Linked DNA regions of Caenorhabditis elegans. The protein of the gene in region 1 interacts with the protein of each later gene in a pairwise test. Each region holds a gene or a part of one and is shown in the gene's direction. Other genes may lie near its edges.

What was found. The genes of interacting proteins can lie anywhere in the genome.
Region 2: the proteins of rsy-1 (region 1) and uso-1 interact in a two-hybrid assay, tested with the Caenorhabditis elegans proteins (2 studies listed by BioGRID).

Annotation. Positions count from the first base shown.
Region 1 is NC_003279.8:11,215,967-11,223,856, reverse strand, and holds rsy-1 (Arginine/serine-rich protein PNISR), read left to right. Parts: upstream 1-1,861; 5' UTR 1,862-1,881; coding exon 1,882-1,927; intron 1,928-2,068; coding exon 2,069-3,096; intron 3,097-4,605; coding exon 4,606-4,786; intron 4,787-5,715; coding exon 5,716-5,964; intron 5,965-7,218; coding exon 7,219-7,484; 3' UTR 7,485-7,680; downstream 7,681-7,890. Other genes in the region: Y53H1A.2 (C2H2-type domain-containing protein), read right to left, coding at 18-167, 884-1,216, 1,268-1,348, 1,450-1,458.
Region 2 is NC_003282.8:13,451,764-13,456,604, reverse strand, and holds the start of uso-1 (Uso1_p115_head domain-containing protein), read left to right. Parts: upstream 1-1,806; coding exon 1,807-1,908; intron 1,909-2,823; coding exon 2,824-2,919; intron 2,920-3,105; coding exon 3,106-3,261; intron 3,262-3,324; coding exon 3,325-3,569; intron 3,570-4,823; coding exon 4,824-4,841. Other genes in the region: Y38H8A.7 (uncharacterized protein), read right to left, coding at 470-521, 572-671, 716-809, 879-962, 1,010-1,099.

The DNA of each region.
Region 1 (7,890 bases):
TTCGATTTTTTTGCTACCTTCCAGTGTCTCCGGAGACTATCTGGGCTCTGATAGCAATATCCACATTTTTGACATTTATAGGCGTCCGGATTGCGGTGTACAACGATATGATGCTTGAGACGTCGTTCCGATGTGTACTTTTTCGGGCATTCCGGGCAATTGTGCTTCTGAAAATTCGAAATTGTTGGGCGAAATCCATGAAATTGTAGTTTTTAGTCATTTTTATAAGAAAAATCGGGAGAAAATCGGTTTTTTCGGCCGAAAATAGTTTTGGGTGAGGCTCAGGGACTACAAACTACAATTTTCTTAGCCTCAACCAGTTTTGCGTTAGTTTTTGGTGTTTTAGGATTGAAAAAGTGAGTTATAAGCTTAATACATTGCAGTTTTTAGTCATTTTCATATAAAAAAATTGCAGAAAAATCAGTTTTTTGGTCGAAAATGTTTTGGGTGAGGCTAACAGACTACAAACTACAATTTTTCTAGCCTCAACCAATTTTTTTCGTAAAAATTGAAGGTTATTATCGTAAAAAGTTAATAAATATCATGAAATAGCCGTTTTTACTCATTTTTATACAAAAAATTGGGGAAAACCGTTTTTTTTTTGGTCGAAAATGTTTTGGGTGAGGCTAACAGACTACAAACTACAATTTTTTTAGCCTCAACGAATTTTTTAATACGATTTTCAACTGAAAATTAGGTTTTTTAATAGTATAAATTAATTTTTAAGCGAAAATTGAATAAAATCCTATTTAAAATGATTGCGGTTTGTAGTTTGTAGTCTGTGAGCCTCAACCAAACGAATTTTCGTCCTATTGGCTGAAATTTGATGATTTTTCATGTTTTCAGGGCAAAAATTGTTAGAATCGGGGTTTTTTATCAGTACCATTTCACTTTGGCCATCCTCATCATCTTCGTGATCCTCTATTTCTTCCGGATGCTCAGATTTTGGAGAAATTACTCGATTTTCCACGATTTCTTGTGAAAATTCTGGATTTCTAGGATGAAAATGTGATAAATTCGAATAATGAGCTTGTTGCACAGATTGCGGGGGCGAATATTGATTTTTCGGTGAACAATTTTGAGGCACATTTTGCGAATTATTGTCGTAGACCAGCTCATATTCGTCGGTTTTCTGCTCCGCAAACATATTTCTCATTGTAGTGAGCACTTTTGGTCCATCTTCGTCTGATGTGTAGTTTGAGGAACAGGAAATATCCTGAAAAATTGGAAAAAAAAAGTGATTTTGCAGAAATTTTCGGGGAAAAACCTCTATTCCACTTTGTAAATTGAAGTCATCGCCGAAAAGCATGTAGTTTGGACAGGAAAAATCCTGTTTTCTTTCTGTCATCTGAAAAAAAAGCAAATTTAAATTTAAATTATTCAAAAAACAACTATTATCGTTGAAAATTGCTGCTAAAAATTAAATTAAATTAAATTAAATTAACCTACCGTAGCCATTAAAGGCGCATGCTGTGTTCCCTCGAATGGGTTTCTACACGAAATTGGAAAACGTCGGATTTCGGCAGGAATTCTGGAATTTAAAATCACTTTTCTCCAAAAATTAAATATATCGATTCATTTTCTTCACATTACAAACAAAAAAACACGTTCAAGTATCTGAAAATCACACAGAAAGCCGCCGTCAATAAAATTCGGTGGCCGCGTGGCCGTGGACTAGGTTTCGTGTAAAGGAACGGCCATCGACATTTTTTCGATTTAATTCTATTTTAGAATATTTTCAGCGCATTTTTAAAGCTTTTAAATAGAAAATCTAGCTGAAAATTTCGAATTTTTGTTAAAAAATGCTAGTTTCCACCTTTTTCCTCCCAAAAAAAACCAATAAGATCGATATTTCCTGCAGAAAATCACAAAACGAGGGAAATGGAAGATTGGACCAACTATCATCAGGCACAGCCGGCGGAAAGTGGTATGGCGTTGTGATTTTATTGAAAAATTGAATTTAAAATCGAAAAATTTGGCAAAAAAACACGAAAAAATCGATTTTTTTCGAGATTTTCGCGAAATTTTTTTAAATTTATTTAAAAATTAATTTTCGTCTATTTTCCAGTCGACTGGGCCCAGCTGGCCCAACAATGGATGGCGATGCGCGACACAGACGATCGTCGAGCCGGAAATTCACACGATTTCGCTCAAAATCATCAGCTCCCGTGGCATCAGCCACGTCATCCGGGCCCTCCGGCTCATCAGGATTGGGGCGATTGGTCCGCGAATCGGGACGAGCAGTGGAGAGGGCCGCCTGGGCCTTCTGGGCCGTCCGGGCCCCCCGTATATCATAATCAAGGCCCGCCTCGTGGATATCCACCACCACCGCCACAGGGAGCAGACACGTGGCGTGGAGCTCCTCCACCAGCTCACCACGGACACTTTGGACCGCCTGGACATCATTTCCAAGGCCCACCACAACATTTTCCGCCAGGGCCACCAAGGCCGCACTTTCCAGGCCCCCCAGGCCCACATAGACCTCCAGAGCACTACCCAGGGCCTCCAAGACCTCAGGCTCCAGCGGCACCACCACCGAAAAGCCTATTCCCGTCGGCCCAAAAGCCTAAGCCACTTTTTGCGGCGGCTTCAAGTGCTCCAAGCTTCTTCGGAGCACCTCAACGTCCACCACCGCAGCTGCACTTTTTCCAGGAGAGCCCCTCGGTCCAGCACGATTTTCAGCAGCCCGATTTCCAGCCCGATTTCCAGCCCGAAAACTACCAAAATTCCCCGGAACCCCCGGCCCAAGCTGGCCCGAAAGGTGTGCCTCCACCGGCTCCACTAATGGCTTCAGGGCCCACAAACCCGTATGCAATGAACAAAGAGGCCCGGAAAAAACTGCCGGCCTGGATCCTGGAAGGCCTTGAAAAGGCCGAACGGGAGAAGCAAAAGCAGTGGGAAAAAGAGGAAAAGCTGAAGAAAGCGGAAGAAGAAAAAGCCCGGCGAAGAGCCGAAGCTGGAAAGAGCAAATTTGACTCTTCGTCGGATGAAGAGAGCCCGGAAAATGAGAAATTTCCTGTTGGTAATGGAAAATCTGAATATCAGGAAGATGATAATGATTCGGAAGACGATTTGGAGGAGAGACGAGAGCAATTTGTACGGGAAATTCTAAATTCCTGAAATTTCCGCAAAAAAAAACCTAAAAACTACAAAAAATTTGAGAAAAAACGAAGATATTCTAAATTTTTAGAGGAAATTTTTCAAAATTTGAGAAAAAAAACCAATTTTTTGAAAAAAAAAATCCAGCTTTGTAGTTTATAGTCTCTCAGCCTCAACCAATATTTTTGGTTGAGGCTCACACACTACAAACTACAAAAAATTTTGAGAAAAAACCAAAAATTTGTCGAAGATTTTCTGAATTTTTAGAGAAAATTGCTAAAAAAATCGAGAAAAAACCGACGAAATTTGATCAATTTTTGTTGGTTCAGGCTCATGCTCAGACACTACAAACTACAATTTTCGGGTAGCCTCACCAAAATTATATTTTGAACAAAAAAATCAATTTTACAATGAAATTTTTGTATTTCGAGGAAAAATCGTTTCTTTTTTTACTTTTATTTCAAAAAAATGTTGAAAATTTGAAAATTTTAGCCGGCTAGACTACAAACTACAGAAATTTTTTTTTTTAAATTGTATTTTCCCAAGATTTTCTGAATTTTCCAGTGTAACTCCTAAATCCTAAAAATAATTCCTATAAAACACCGAGTTTTTGATAAAATTTCAAAAAATCTATTGGTTGAGGCTATGACAATTTGTAGTTTGTAGCCTCTCAGCCTCAACCAATATTTTGGTTGAGACTCACACACTACAAACTACAATTTTCGGGTAGCCTCACCAAAATTAAATTTTGAAAAAAAAATAAATTTTTCAATACAACTTTTGAATTTCGGCAAAAAAATCGTTTTTTTTTTCATTTTTAATTCAAAAAAGTTTAAAATTTTAGACATTTTAGTAGACATTGGCGTTTTTGATGCCAGCTAGACTACAAACTACATGAATTTAAAAAAAAAAAACAATTTTCCCTAGGTTTTCTCAATTTTTCAGCGTAAACCATAAAAATTCCAATAAAAAACCCAGTTTTTGATAAAATTTACAAAAAAAACATTGTTGAGGCTATATGACAATTTGTAGTTTGTAGTCTCAACCAATTCAAAAATTGGTCGAGGCTCAGACTACAAACTACAATTTTTAAGACAGCCTCACAGAAATTTAAATTTTCAAAAATTCAATTTTTTCAAGATTTTTTAAAAAATTTTCTAAAAAGTTTTGAAATTCGGGTAAAAAAAATTTTTTTGTTTCAAAAATTTTATAATTTTGATGCCCGCTAGACTACAAACTACAAAAATTTCGAAAACAAACCTTAAAATCTTCCCAAGATTTTCAGAATTTTTCAGTCAAAACCTTTAAAAATGCAATAAAAACCGAATTTTTGATAAAATTTCAAAAAATCTATTGGTTGAGGCTCGCGTTTTTGGAGGCTGTTAGACTACAAACTACAGAACTTTTGAAAAAAAAAAATTGAATTAAAAATTAAAAAAGGTCCATTAAGTGGAGAAAAACCTCTTAAAAATTTCAAAAAAAAAATTTTCGAAATTTTTTTTCCAGATACGCTGTGTGAAAACTCTAATGATGAACGTGCTCCTCGAGTCTTCGAATGACGTCATCATGCGTATAATACAAGAAGAGCTCCGTGAGCACGAAAAACTTCAATTTGAACGGAAAAAATTGGCAACTGCGCCGAAAATCATCGGCAACAGCTCAGCGTTGGCGGCTCTCGCGGCTTTTGGTATGGAGAAGCTCGCGAAAATTCGAAATTCGGAAAAAACAATTTTTTTGACCAGAAAATTCGGTTTTAAAAGTTTTTTCCAAGTTTTTAATTTAAAAAAAACCGAAAACTTTAACATTTTTGAAATTTTCTTCCAAAAAGCTATGAAAATCGTATAATTTTTCATAAAAAATTCATAAATTGTTCCAATTTTTCGACGAAATTTTTTTAAACAAAAAAAATTCGATTTTATCGAGTTTTTTGAGCTAAAATTTCAAAAAGTTTTTTAAAAATTGATTTAAAAAATTCGAAAAACGAAAATTTTCAACATTGTCTTCAAAAGTTTCACATTTTTTAAAAACTTTTTTCTAAAATTTTCGAATTTTCCATATTTTTTTTAAATTTAAAACAGTTACAATTTTGAAACAAATCGAATTTTCTGGTTGAAAAATTTGAGATTTTCCGAAAAAAAAAGTAAAATTTTTGATTTTTAAATCGAATTTTTCAAAAAAAAATAGCGAAAATTTAGATTTCCAGAAAATTTTAATTTTATATAAAAATTGTGTTCAAAAAGTTCCTGAAAAGCTCTTCTTTTTCCTAAAAATTCAAATTTTTCAGAAAAAGTTTTCAAAAAAACATTTTTTTTTTTTGGAAAAAATCGGTTTTCAGAAGCTTTTTTAATTAAATATTCGTTATAAAAAACGATTTTCGAACAATGTACCAAAAAAGAATTTTTAGTTTAAAAATTTCAATTTTTTCGATTAAAAATTCCATAAAATGTGAATTTTCAATTTCTCGAAAATTGTAAAACTAAAATTCAAATAAAAAAAGCCTTTTTTTGCAAAAAAAAAGTTGAGTTTTCAGTTAAAAAAAAAAACGTTTTTTAGAGCTAAAATGTCATATTTTTTGAAATTTTATTTCAAAAAATTCAAATTTTTCAAATTTTCCAGGAGACGGTGAGGATAGTGACAACAGCAGTGACGATGGAGTTGGCGACGACATGGAGCCACGGCAGGAGAGCAGTGGCTCGGCGGAGCTAAATGGAGCATCAGGGGCAGCAGAAGCAGGAACACCAGAAGCTGGTGGTGGAGAGTTCAAGGCTCCCGTGGGTATCCCTCGAAAGTTTAGTGTTAAGACAGATGATGTCAAACCATCAGTTAATGATGATGGTGAAGGTGTTGATGATTTACACGTTCCAGGTAAGGTAAACTAATGAAAAATATAAAAATATATTCACTTTTTGTTGAAAAAAATACCATTTTTGCTAATTTTTTCCCCGATTTTAGCGTCAAAAATGTGTTTTTCTGTAGTTTGTAGTCTATTAAAGCGCGAATTTTCAGCCAAAAAACTTCAAAAACCTACTGGAAATCCACTTTTTTGAATTAAAAATTCAAAAATTTCAGGAAAATCTGCAAAAAAAAAATGTTTTTTCAATATTTGTGTGAGGCTATGTTATTTTGTAGTTTGTAGTCTCAGCCTCAACCAATTTTTGAAATAATTGAGGCGCGCTGGAGACTACAAACTACAAGTTTTCTTCACAATTTTCACTTTTTTCCGCCAAATTTGAACTGAAATTTTTTGGGATTTTGGGACATTTGGGATTTTGGATTTTTGGGACAGAATGGTTTTGTAGTTTGTAGTCTCGGAGCGCCAATTTTCAGCCAAAAAAAATAATATTTTATTCCAAAAAACCCACTGGAATTCCACTTTTTTTGGATTAAAAATTCAGAAATTTTCGGAAAATCTGAAAAATTTTGAAAATTCAGTTAAAACCGCTTCTAGAACTCGAAAAATCTATTTTTTAAATCCAAAAAAAAATCTGAACATTCCTGAACATTTGGTGAGGCTTTGCTCATTTTGTAGTTTGTAGTCTGTGAGCCTCAACCAATTTTTGAAATAGTTGAGGCCGGAGACTACAAACTACAAGTTTTCTTCACTTTAGCAGAGATTTTTCGGGAAAATCTCACTTTTTATCTAAAAAATTTCAAAAATTCTTTTCTTTTTTCAATAAAATCTCTGAAAATCCAAATAAAAATCCAAAAAATTTTTTTTTTCTAATTTTGTAGTTTGTAGTCTGTGAGCCTCAACCAATTTTTGAATTGGTTGAGGCTACAAACTACACATATTTCCCAGCCTCAACCTAGATTTCTTCATATTTTACTCATTTTTTAAAGAATACAAATGAAAAGTGTGAATTTTTGAAATTTTCACTCGCAAACGTGTAGTTTGTAGTCAAAATATTGGGATTTTACTATTTTGGGTTAGGCTAAGCTGATTTTGTAGTTTGTAGTCTTCGGCTAAATATTTAGAAATTTCCTTTCAAAAAGTCTGTAGTTTGTAGTTTGAACCTTGATTGAGGCTGATGTGATTTTGTAGTTTGTAGTCATTCTCTAGACTACATAGAACTACACAATCTACACACAAAATTCCGGAAATAATATTCAAATTTTCAGATTCAAAAAACGGCGATAATAAAAAATCGGAAAAATCGTCGTCGGAAAAGAAGAGAGAACGAGAGATGAGAGACGATGAGAAGGAGAGAAAATCGAGTAAAAAGAGCAAAAAACGATCGAAAAGTCGTGAAAAAGAGCAATCTTCATCACGACATAATCACCGATCGAGAAGCCGATCTTCGGAACGGGATCGCCGTCGAAAACGGTCGAGAAGTTCGGAACGTCGGAGGGATCGGGGGGACAGGGATCGGCATAGTCGACGTTGATTTTTATTGATTTTAACGATAAATTATTGATTTTTCCGATTTTTACCGCCGATTTTTTCCACCAATTTCTTGCTCCAAATTCTCATTGTTCAAAGCCGCCCGTTTTTCTGGAAAACTCCCAAAAAATTATTTTTTTGTATTACCTATGATGACATTTTCCCATTGATTTTTTTTTGCTTAATGTATTTTGAAGTTTTGTTTTTTCGTTTTTGGTTTCAGCATATTTCAGAATCGCACAATAAATTCTAATTTCGCGCCTGAATTTTTGGAAAAATAACTAAAATTTGAATTTCCCGCTAAAATATTAAAAATAATTTGAAGTTCGCGCCAAATTTTTTGTTTTGAAAATTCGAATTTCCCGCTGAAATATTTAAAATTTTTGGAAAAATTACTAAAATTTGAATTC
Region 2 (4,841 bases), on another chromosome or scaffold:
AAAAGATTTATGAATTTTCAAAGTTTGGAAAATTCATCTATTTTTGCCTATAAATGGTAGTTTTCATTAAATAATAAAATACGCACTAAAAGGTAGGGCTGAAAATGTACTATTTCTGTAACTACGTGAAGCTTCTTGTACCTACTGGAATATTATTGGTATATGCTGAAAGACCTTAAAATTTACTACTCAGATAAACCGAACCACGCAGGCACCGCTCCAAACCACGCAGGCAACGCGTACAAACCACGCTCAAGAATGCCAGTCCCTGCGTGGTTTCAACGCGTTGCCTGCGTGGTTTGGAGGCGACACCTGCGTGGTCTTGCAGCAATGGCAGTTCGCAGCCCGCTCCTTCCCCTTCCTACCGTTTAACCATCTAAAACGCAAAGTACGAAAATCTCAAAAATAACAACAAAAAAAGGTGGGAAACAAAATTAAGTCCATTAGGCAGTTGTTTTCGTCCCAGTGATCAGTGTGATGGTGTGTCCTTTTCCTGGCTCATCTTTTTCCGTGCGTTCAAGCTGCAATATTATTGATTTTTGGAAATACAAATTGATAGAAGGGTGTTTACCATTTTTGATCCACCTGTCGGGAGAAAACATCGCCAAAATCCGCACTCGGGAACTGTCCTTCGAATCCGGCTACAACATGTAGAATATTGTGAAGAACGCCTGAAAATTTTTGTTTAAAAAAAAATTGGACAAGAATAGCTTACTGATAGGACAATTGAGAAGTCTTCCTTGAAGAATCTGATGATTCACCGAATTTGGGTGGACACTGAAGGTGTGGAGGAGCTCTGGAGGAATTGTCTGAAAAGTGAACTATTTTAACTACATCTGGATTTGGAGAATTTGTGCAGCTGCCAAACTTCTGTTCACCTTTGACTTGGAATTTTCCGCGATTTTCCTAAGCTCTTTGAAATCCCAGTCCATAGTTCGAACGAACGATTCCGAAGGTTTTTTCTGAAATTTTGTTGCTATATATTTTTTAAAAATAAAGTTTATCTTACGTTGAAGCGACCAATCGAATGCGGCGCCTCCAGTCCATTGCCACGCCGCTTTCGGCCTCCTTTTGGGGTTTTTCGGGCCGGGGTTGACATATTTACCTGAAAACAATTATTGAGTTTCATGAAGAAATTGAAAATTAATATAAAAGTGCTTTTTGCAAGAAAAAAAACGGAAAATTCCATTAAATTAGGAAAAAAAAATAGAAGAAAAAGTTGTCCAAGAGGAGTACGCAGCCATTGGCCTAGGAATCCCGCGCGTGGCTGAACGTTGGCTGCCTGCATGGTATGTAGGCGTCACCTGCGTGGTTTTGCAGCCACTGCCAATAGCTGCCCACCGTCAAGTCGCCTGCGTGGTTCCTAGGCGTCACCTGCGTGCTTTTGGTTGCCTGCGTGGTCTTGACGCGTTGACTGCGTGGTGGGCAGTCACCTGCGTGGTTTGGAGCGGTGCCTGCGTGGTTCGATTTATCTGAGTACTCTAACTTGGGCATTTATTTGAATTATATTTGAAGTATATTCGGAAATTTTTCTTTTTTTGAACATTGAAACACATTGAAATAAAATAAAATAAAGTTTGCCAGAAATTTCAATTCCAGTAATTTGTTGATTTGCCTGAAAGCTAATATATATCGAAATGTATACATTACCCGTAATCAAAACATTTTGAAGTAACAGTATTCTGTTATTCTATCCGTTTTCTCTTCACTTTTCTCTCCCGATCAACTCACTCAATGTGCCCTCTTCCTACATTACACTTTTACGCACTCTAACACTCTCTGAGCCGATAGTTTTATTCAATCGAAATGTTCGCTTATTCAACGTCTTCAATTACCGGATCAACTCTTTCAGTTAGATCGTTTTCCAGTGACACGACAATTTCCAATGCGTTTTTCAATTTGCCTCAGGTAAAGTTGTTGCAAAATATATTGATTTATTGTTATTTCTACTTTTAACCAATGTTTTTCAATTTAAAAAATTTTGAATTGAGCATATTAGCGCTGATTTTTGTTTTTTTTTAATTTAATATTTGAAAATAGCCTGTCAATTTATAAAAAATCTATGCTTTATATTTATTAAAGATATTAGCCAGACGGGAAATTTTGCAATTTTTATGTGTTTTGCGCGAAAAATACGGTAGTTCTTGGTCTCAAAACGACAATTTTTCGTTGCATGGAAACGGGTGCTCTCCTTTAAAGAGTACTGTAATTCTAAACTTTTGTCGCTGCGGCATTTTATTCGACTTTTCATTGTTTTTCTTAAAATTTATGTGTTTTAATTGTTTTACTTCAGTTTTTTACAAAATAAAAACAGCCTTTTTTAACGAAGAACTATGAAAAAACGATGAAAACCCTGCAACAACGAAAGTTCGAAATTACAGTACTCTTTAAAGGCGCGCCCTGGTTTGAATATAACAAAAAAAAAGTCGTGTCGAGACCAGGAACCGTATTTTTGGCGCAAAAATCGCAAAATGTTGGGTATGAGTATAAAATAAAACACCGTGACCACTGGCTTGAGCCACGTGTACGGTATTTAGCTGAAAAGTTTCGATCGTGTCAGGACTCAAGACTGTTCTTTTGGGGGAAAACCCGAAATTTTCGTGGGCAGCTGGTACTCTTCTTTCTGGATTTAATCCGGATTTTGACAGAAAATGTTTTCTCGACGATTTTATTGAAAATTTCCATCTGTTTCCCAAACTTTCTCCAATTTTTTTGAAATTCTTGAATTCAGTATAATTATTATTCAGTTGAATATGCAAATTTTGTTATTAAAACAATTGAAATATTTGTTTTATTCACTTTTTGAGCAGATCTTTTTTTCAGAGCAATTTCCGTCAACGTCTGCAAGCGAAAAAACGAAGTCCGAAAAGAGTCAGCAAGCGCGCTCCATTGAGAACGCATCCTCCAATTCCACGACAGGTTTTTCCACTTTTCTCTTCTTTTTTTCCCGTTTTTTTTCATTTATTTTATGTTAAAATTCAGAAAATAAAGAAAAATATTTAGAAATAAATAAATTAAATTAAAAAATGCATTTAATTATCATTTATATTCGCTCAACAACACGACAATCCCATTTTCCGCTCACTGCCACGTGTAGCTTTGCAGATGTCGCTGTTTCGGAACTTTTTTGGCGGCGGACAGCAAGATGAAGACGAGGATAATGGAGCTGAATATGTAGAAACACTTGTGGAACGAGCAGAAACTTGTACGGCACCAGAAGACCGTCGAGATGCGTTGAGAGGGCTGAAAGGTGTCGCAAAGGTGAGAGAAAAAATCATTTGAACTATTAAAATTAAACAATTAAAATTAAACGTGTAATTTCAGAAATATCGATTAGCCGTCGGAACAATGGGAATGAATGCATTCATTGACGTGCTTGAAACAGATCGCATGAACACCGAAGCCATGACAATTGTGCTCGACACGATGGCAATCGTTTTGTCAACAGACGACGATTCTTCAGAATCCGATGAATTAGGAGAACGATTAGCCGAAGTGATGATTAAACGAAAAGGCTTCATTTCTTCAGTTTTATGCGCCGTTGAACAATTCGATATTGGAGTTCGAAGGTTTTTATTCCGAAATTAACGAGAAAAAAATCAAGATGCTTTAAAAAATTCACTAATTTCAGCTAAAATCTCCAATTTCGTCAACTTATCGGTGTCACAACAACCGCAAATTAATTTTCTTTTTAATTTATCCGTATTTTCTCCGATTGAGATACATTTTCAGGCCAAAGGCACTGAATAAGGGGCCTATCGACTGAAAATTCCTCAAAAAACGGCAAAATATGATTATAATTGAATTAAATCGATTTCCGGCTGTTGCGAGACAATCTTCGAAATTAAAAACACCTGATGTTAGGCAAAATCCCCAATTTTGCTCCTTTTTTTGCGTTACAACAGTATAAATACAGTCTTTATTGCATTTTTTTTTTGGTTTGGTATCCGATTTTTTATTATCTTTGGTGTTTGCTTTTAATAACGAAATAACGTGAGATCAAATAAAATATGAAAATTCGATAAAAACTGCATTGCAGCAGTCCTAACGCGGAAAAATTGATAAAATTGGAGATTTTAACTGAAATTAGCCCGTTTTTCAGAAATTTTGAGAATTATATCTTCAAAATTAGTGTATTTTGGCGCATTTTTAATTTTTACGAGCAAAAATTCCCCCGAATCCTCCTTTAAGGAAGATTTCGGACGATTTTGAACGTATACCCCCAAAAATGGGCTCAAATAATCGAACTTCGTATTGAAACTGCTCGAAAATGTTTGAAAAACTTTTTATGGCGGTTCAAAATTTCGAAAAAATACACTGATTTTAGCTAAAATCTCGAATTTTGGCCTTTTCTCCGTGTCGCAGCGGTTCGAAGTTGACTTTTTTGGAATTCTCGTCCTTTATTGAATATTTTGGTACTTTATCTCATATTATTTCGTTTGTTAAAGTACATTTAAAGACGATAGGTAACCGTTTTTTATGATTTTTGGCTACTTATAGGCTTTAAATGTACTTTAATAAACGAAATTAAATGATATAAACTACCAAAATATGCAAAAAAAGGATGACAATTCCAAAAAAGTCAATTTCGGACAGCTGGAACACGGAAAAATGGCCGAAGTTCGAGCATTTAGCTAAAATCAGTGTAATTATATAATATTTCGAAATTTTGAACCGGCATAAAAAATACAAAATTTTGAAAATTTCTTGAGCAGTTCTATTACGAAATTCGTCCATTTGAGCTCATTTTTGAGTCTTTACGAGCAAAAACCCCCCGAATCCTTCTATAAATTATTTCAAAAATCTGTATTTTACTATTTCAGAACTGCAATTCAGCTGAT